2 linked regions of the Daphnia pulex genome follow. The protein of the gene in region 1 purifies or fractionates together with the protein of each later gene. This does not show direct contact. Links are inferred from orthologs where the notes say so. Each region holds a gene or a part of one and is shown in the gene's direction. Other genes may lie near its edges.

The links.
Region 2: the proteins of kinesin-like protein KIF13A (region 1) and disks large 1 tumor suppressor protein-like purify together in Drosophila melanogaster (affinity purification with western blotting; 3 studies listed by BioGRID). This does not show direct contact. The link is inferred for Daphnia pulex from reciprocal best matches to the Drosophila melanogaster genes Khc-73 and dlg1.

What each region holds. Positions count from the first base shown.
Region 1 is NC_060019.1:7,992,947-7,996,765, forward strand, and holds part of kinesin-like protein KIF13A, read left to right. Parts: coding exon 1-19; intron 20-95; coding exon 96-305; intron 306-367; coding exon 368-571; intron 572-1,213; coding exon 1,214-1,462; intron 1,463-1,529; coding exon 1,530-1,862; intron 1,863-1,927; coding exon 1,928-2,483; intron 2,484-2,552; coding exon 2,553-2,698; intron 2,699-2,764; coding exon 2,765-2,908; intron 2,909-2,973; coding exon 2,974-3,226; intron 3,227-3,298; coding exon 3,299-3,408; intron 3,409-3,473; coding exon 3,474-3,819.
Region 2 is NC_060025.1:308,231-312,049, forward strand, and holds part of disks large 1 tumor suppressor protein-like, read left to right. Parts: exon of another isoform or gene 1-694; coding exon of another isoform or gene 695-712; intron 713-880; exon of another isoform or gene 881-1,417; coding exon of another isoform or gene 1,418-1,474; intron 1,475-1,998; coding exon 1,999-2,040; intron 2,041-2,113; coding exon 2,114-2,395; intron 2,396-2,468; coding exon 2,469-2,690; intron 2,691-2,758; coding exon 2,759-2,996; intron 2,997-3,083; coding exon 3,084-3,180; intron 3,181-3,819. UniProt on the Drosophila melanogaster protein: During embryonic development, some isoforms are essential for proper neuronal differentiation and organization. Required for cell polarity; maintenance of apicobasal polarity.

The sequences.
Region 1 (3,819 bases):
TGACGTCACCGGAGAAAAGGTTCATTCGAATTTTTAACTTTATAGCACCAAACTTTTTGGATTAACGTTGCTAACCGTTCTACGAAAAATCAAAGGTCAGTAAAATGTCCCTGGTCGATTTGGCTGGATCTGAACGCGTCTCCAAGACGGGAGCAGTCGGCGACAGATTGAAAGAGGGATCGAACATCAATAAATCACTTACAACTTTGGGTTTAGTCATATCCAAATTGGCCGATCAAGCCACCTTAAAGAACAAAGACAAATTTGTACCCTACCGAGATTCTGTGCTAACATGGCTTCTAAAGGTATGTTTAAAATCGCATTTAAAGTTGAATTCATTTTCATGTGTTGACGACGTGTTTTTTAGGACAACTTGGGTGGCAACAGTAGAACAGTCATGGTAGCTACTATATCTCCAGCTTCAGACAACTACGAGGAAACTTTGTCAACCTTACGTTATGCCGACAGAGCTAAACGTATTGTTTGCCACGCAGTTGTTAACGAAGATCCCAACGGCCGCATCATCAGAGAACTGAGAGAAGAATTAGAGTTCCTCAAAGAACAACTGAAGGTAATCAATATCATTCTCTTTTTTTTCCCCTTCAAACGTATGGATACCTCTCGAAGTGTGTCTCTCTATACCTCGTGTTCTCTTTCTTTAAGCCTCTCAAGTCCGTTGTGATGGTACGTCGAACGCGCCTTCAGCAGAGGCATTGTTTATTAGGGGTTAAGGAGGCTAGAGAAAGCCTAGGAAATGCGAACATGGGATGAAATCTTTGGTTTAGGACCCTTTTCAAGTCCCTTAAGAACCAGGGTTATAAATATAAACCTATACACAATACTCCATTAGCTAGTTTGGGGATACCCTAATCCTTGACTTCTTCTTTTCCGTGCCAAGTGTGGGAATGCCCAGATAATTTTTCTCATCTTCAATAAAGTCATGCCAGGATATAGACAGACATTTCTGTCTTGCGGGTGGTCTTATGGCACAGCTGTGAGATGTGGCATTCTATTGTTACGTAGACTTTACGTGCCCTTTGAGAGTAGCATTATAGTCTTTGGTCTGATCCCGAGTTATTTCCGCTCTAGAGAAGAACTATTAAAGAGGCGTGTTTAGTGTGGGCGCAATGTTTTCCGTGAACACTTCCAACCCTGACTGGAAATCAAGTAGTGAAACGTGTAATTCTAATACTGTATTTGTTCTTATTGTTAGCATGCCGTCTACCGAGACGATCTCAGCGAGCAACTCCATCAGTCGGAAAAATTGATGAGCGCCATGTCGGAAACGTGGGAGGAGAAACTGGTCAAAACAGAACGCGTCCACCACGACCGGCAGCAGGCCCTTGAAAAAATGGGCATTTCGGTTCAAGCCTCAGGCATTCAAGTGGAAAAGAATAAATTCTATCTGGTGAACTTGAACGCCGACCCATCACTTAATGAACTATTAGTCTACTATTTAAAGGTAACCCATTCTGTCCGTCAGCTGGCATTTGTTCCGTCTGTGTACCGTTTATTTGTTCTTTATTTAGGATCGTACTCTTGTGGGACGGCAAGACGCAGACACTCAGCCTGATATCCAGTTGTCGGGACTAGGCATCCAGACTGAGCACTGCCAGTTGTTGATCGAGAATGGGCAATTGTTTATGGAACCATTGGGAGTGGCACCATGCTTCCTAAATGGATCTCCGGTTATAGCTCGAGTACTACTTCGTCACGGCGATCGTCTTTTATGGGGGAACAACCATTTCTTTCGGGTTAACTGTCCACGTCCTAGTCCAACTAGTGAGGAACAAGTTCAACCTGATTTCAATTTTGCACGCGAAGAGCTGGTATTGAAAGAAATGTCCAATGACCCCATTCAAGTAAGCTGCATTAAAAAATATTGTTGAATGGCTGGCAGCTTATTAATCCGTTCTTTTCCCGTTAGAATGCAATTGCCCGTTTGGAGAAGCAGCACGAAGAAGACAAACAACGAGCCCTACAGCGCCAACGACAGGAATACGAACGACACTTTCACCAACTCCGCACTTCACTTCTCTCTCCGATGTCGCCTTCTTCATCTTTTTCGTCGCTCGATCTCAGCAATCGATCTCTGCGTAGCGGAATGGGATCAGGAACGCCCCGTTCAGAACGGTGGGCCCAAGAGAAAGATGAAATATTTCGCCGAAGTTTGGCGCAGCTCAGAGAGGACATTGTCCGTGCTAATTCCCTCGCTCGCGAAGCCAATGTCTTGGCCGAAGAACTCGGCAAACAGACGCGCTTCAGTGTGACCCTCCAAATTCCACCTGCCAATCTAAGTCCAAATCGTAAGCGAATAGGACTGGTGAGCGAGCCTGCGATTCACGTCAGGCGGACGGGAAAACCCAATCAAATCTGGTCATTAGATAAATTAGACGTCAAATTAGTGGACATGAGAGATCTCTACAACGAATTCAAAAATGTGGATCCACTCAACAGAAGAGAAAACCCTTTCCTATCTCCAGGTATCTTAGGACCCGATTCTATGTAAATAATTTTGTGCCATTCTAAAATAAAATTCTTTTATTTAACAGGTTCGGATCCATTTTATGAGCTGCAAGAGAGCCATAGTTTAATAGGTGTTGCTAATATCTACATGGATGTTCTGTTCCATGATGTCCGATTGAATTACTATGTTCCTATTATATCTCAGCAAGGAGAAGTGGCTGGCAAGCTGCAGGTATCACACAGATTTTTTTTTTTAATAATTAAACTCTCGTTTGTTCATCGCTTTAATGTTACTTAGGTGGAATTGAGCAGAATCGCTGGGCAGTTTCCTACCGATCACATGTGTGAATCGGACTCTGGCGAGAATTGGGACGAGCAAGATGAAGATGCTTCATCCAATGGCCATTGTACTGCGATCACATGTCGTGTTAGCATTCATCAGGTGAGCAATCCTGACAATTGTCTTTTATTCTTCATCCCGCTAATTTTTGTAATTTTTATTTATAGGTCTGCGGATTGCCGGCATCCTTATCGCATTTTGTTTTCTGCCAGTATAATATGTTCGGTCAAGCAGAAGCTGTAGTGGTACCGACAGTGATAAGTAACGAGGATGAGGATCGTCGAAATCAAAACGATGTTCGCATTCGCTTTGATCACGTCAAAGATTTTACTGTGCCATTAACCGAGGAGTTCATGGATCTGTGCAGTGAAGGGGCGCTGTCAATTGAGGTTTGGGGCCATCGAAGCGGTGGTTTTACAGGTATTTTTAGTGTGCTATTTCAATTGTACTTTTTGGCGTTTTCCATTTAATTTTTTGTATTTCTTTTTGAAGCAGGGAAAACCGCATGGGAAGTGGAGCAGCAGCAGCTAGCAAAAGTGAGATCTTTAGCGGATAAATGGCGTGAAGTTTCACGACGAATTGAATTATGGGTGGAAATTCAGGTATTCATTTAATTGGCAACTCGTTTCTTGTCGAGTCTCTAACGTTGTGACGTCACATCCAATAGGAATTGAGTGACTCCGGTGAATACGTTCCAGTTGAGGTCATCCACCGAGACTGCCTTTCCGGGGGTGTCTATCAGCTCCGCCAAGGACAGCAACGAAGAGTTTGCATACGTGTCCGTCCTGTACGTGATTCCGGCACGTTACCGTTGGTCTGTGAAACAGTAACGTGTGTCGAAATAGGAAGTGTTTCGGCTAGGTCCAAACTTCAAAAGCAGCTAGACTCGTATCAAGAGGAAGATCTGCTCCTGTTGCGAGACAAGTGGAGTGATGCCGTGGCACGTAGACGGCAGCATCTTGACCAACAGCTACAACGACTGATGCAAAAACAAGATAAAACCGAAAGCGATG
Region 2 (3,819 bases), on another chromosome or scaffold:
ATGTGAGACCCTTAATGCCCCGAGGGGGAAAACCTGGACATTTTTTTCCTCCTCCTCCTCCGCAGCATATTGGAAGTTTTTAGGCTTTTTCTTTAGACATTTCTTCCCCCCATTCTTGTTAGTGGCCATCAGTCCGAGTGAGAAGGCAGTGGCGATTGGATCATTTTTTCTTATTTGTTGGGGGTTCACAACTTGTTATAATAATAATATTTGATTATTTTGGTTTCTATGGAAAATGGTTCGAGTGTGCCAATGACAGTAGCAGTAGTTGGAAGGCTGTCAAAGTAGTATAGCGAGAGAGAAAATTCAGTTGTGTATACCGAACGCGTCGAGTTTGGCTTTTTCAGATCCGGCTAGTGACGTTGTGTGTGTTTCTTTTTTTTCATTTTTTGTTTCCCAATTTGTTGGGATCTTTTTTTTATTTATTTGTGACGAGCTTTTTGGGTTGTTGTACTGTGTGCTCCTGCCGGATGGTTTATATTTGCCACTGCTGCTGCTGGTCGGCGTGTGAGCTGTGTGTGTCTGGAGCTTATTTTACTGTGCACCGGTGCAAGTGATCAGTTGCAGGCGAGTTTTCGCAGCCGACGCTCGCGCCATTTTTTCCCCCCGTTTCTCCATCGAAACTCTTGATGCTTCCAAACGCCGGTTTTTGAATTCAATATAACACCTCGATATAAATTACCAGCCATCTAGGATGAAAACACGACGGAAGGTAAAATCTTCAATCAATCTACGAAATCAATCCCCCCGAATTAAGTCTTGCGTTTTTATTAAGAACCTTGGCTGTTTTCTATTTTGTTTTTAATTGTGTCTGCGCGCATCATCAAGACGAATTTAGCGATAGATTTGGCAATGCTGTGTTGACGTCACCTACCAATAGCAGACGAGTTCCATGTTCCACACCCATTCTTTTATATTTTCTAGTCTCCCCCCCGCCAAAAAAGAAAAAGAAAAAAAGAAAAACTCGCCCACGGTGTGTGTCTGTTGTGTAGTTTTTCGGTATCTATTGAAAAAGGAAAAAAAAATAAAAAAACTTCCATAAGAGAGCAGCACACGGCAGTACAGGTGTCCAGACCGGAAAAGGGCCACCCCATGCAATTAGATAACACACACACAGTTTGCTTGGTGGATGTTTCGTGTGTTGGCAGCTCCCAAAAAAAGTTTCTAGTCTCAACTGGTCGGCTTCCAATTTTTCCGTTGGTGGCAGTTTTTAATTTTAAGCCTTGCAAATTTAACTTTTTTTTTAAATAAAAAATTGCGTCATAGTGTTGCGTTAGTGATTTGGAAAGGCGTGACTTTTTTTTTTAATTAAAAAAAACAATAGGAAAAAGTTAAAAATAAAAATTCCGTTTAGTCCGGCCTTGTTTTTTAAATAAATCTATCGACGCCGTCTGTCTGCTGTTGTTCATGTGGCAAGATGGCCAAGAACGATTGGTGGCGAAAGTGGAAATCGACTTGGTCTGTGAACGCTGCCGTAAGTTTTTGTCGTTTCCTTTCTCCTGTTTTTCATGTTCGGGTATTTTCCCTATCGGATGCCGTTAAAAATGAAAACCACAGACTTTCGTATCCCCTCCCCCTCCCTATGTCGTGTGTGGGAAATTTCGGTCGGCGTCCGTTGGTTAGTTTCGTGATTACCTCTATCTCCCCCCACCCTCATCAACATTTCACGGCATTGTTTCCTGGCCAAACAGAAAATGTTTACCTTGCACTCTGTCAATATTGGATTCTAAATGATTGGAGAGGAAAGTCACAGTTGAGAAACAGTCGCTCTCCAACTTGACTGTAAACACTTGTGTGCCAGTTCTCCTAACGGTCCTGTGACAGTTAATTTTATCAGCTGAATAACGTGTGGCAAACAGTTGGGGGTTTGTGACCCTCCTTCGCAGTGCATTTCAACCTGTCACATCATCAACGAAGCAATGCATTTACTTGATTAATAATTATTGAACCACCAAATGTTGTTTTGACTAATGACGAATTTCCTCTTCTCTTTGACAGATTCAATCTCACCTGTCACCCGGATTGGTCGTGGACAAGCATGTGAGTATATAATAACGCGTGGAATATGTCTAAACGATAATATTGAAATTCCTTTTTATTGTGTGACACACAGGCGAACGGAGGCGATGAATCGGCGTGGGATTACGAAGAAATTATTCTCGAGAGAGGCAGCTCTGGTTTGGGATTCAGCATCTCGGGTGGAACTGACAACCCGCACATCGGCGACGATCCAGCCATCTGTTTGACGAAGATCATCCCGGGCGGTGCGGCTGCCATCGACGGCCGCATGAAGATCAACGACGTCATCTTGAAAGTGAACGATGTGTCGGTGGTGAACGTTCCCCATTCAGCTGCAGTCGAAGCGCTCAAAAGGGCCGGCAACCTCGTCCGTTTGGTGAGTCACCCTCTAGAGACCTTCGTCTACGTATTTATTCGTATAACCTTTCTCTTTTTTTGGTTGTCTACAGAGCGTCAGGCGACGCAGACAGCCCCGATCTCCTCGCATCGTCGAAATTGAATTGTGCAAGGGCAACAAAGGACTGGGATTCAGCATCGCGGGCGGCTCGGGAAATCAACATATTCCCGGCGATAATGGAATTTACATTACCAAGATCATGGATGGCGGAGCGGCTCAAGTTGACGGGCGACTCGCTGTCGGCGACAAATTGATTCTCGTCCGGAATTTACCCGTACGTACCGTCACAAAATAAAACAATAACAGTGGCCGAACTAAAAATCAACCTTTTGTTCTATACAGTTGATGACGGAGAAAAATTTAGAAAACGTTTCGCACGAGGACGCCGTTTCGGCGCTCAAGTGCACGTCAGATCGCGTCGTATTGGTCGTGGCCAAGACGGATGCGCCTCTAGCGCCGATGCAAGTCGTCGGACAGCCCCCTACTACTCTCCTGCAACAAACGCCTCTACTCTCACAGTCGGCCGTCAATCTAACGACTCACCACTCGCATCAGCCTCCGTCTCCTAATCCAGGACTCGGTAAGTTATTCTAAAAATTTTAGTTTGGTCGAGTGTGTGTGTCTGATCGGAATACTGATTGTGGCCGACATCTTTTTATTTTGGCAGCGCCTCTTGACGTCAGCGGTGCCTACGATCCGATCGAAATTCCTGGTGCACTTCAAGTTTCGACTCCGCGGGCCGTTAGCGAAGAAGACATTGCCAGGTAGGCGAAATGCTGTACAATGTCGTAGAAACTATTACAATATCCGAAAAAGTAAAGGCGAAATTGGGGTCAGGCGGTCAGTGTCGACGAAGAGAACGGGTAATCACGTGATGTGGCCATTTTTATTTTCCAGGCAGGGTATAGTAGAGTGTGCGTGCAGTCTCGCGTTTGTTGTTCCCACGTGCAGTGTTAGCCAGTAACGAGCAGCAGCAGCAGCAGCAGCCGCCATTATATATTTAGAAGTCGCAGCAGGAAGGGTGTGGTGTGTGTGTGTGTAAACGTGCAGCAATCTGTTGGTGCCCCTCAGTCGGTGATGAGTCGCGTCCAGCGGCAGTTGGGATATACTAACACACACACAATTTTCTCGTTGAAATAAATAAGGGAGGGGTGTTTGTATGTATGTGTGTGTGACGTCACAGCAACGGCCACCCAATAACACGATCGGATTTTTGTGTGCGCGCCTGGCGTCGTTGCTCGGAAAAGTGTCGTGCAGCTGTCGATCGTTCGACAGACGGACGTGTTGTTAACCCTCTGAATTACTACAGTGTAGACCAAGTGCCCAATGGCCAAGAGCAACAAGAGTCTTGACGATTCGGCCAAGAAATCGGGGAAAAAGAAGAAAACGATTCGCTCCTCCGA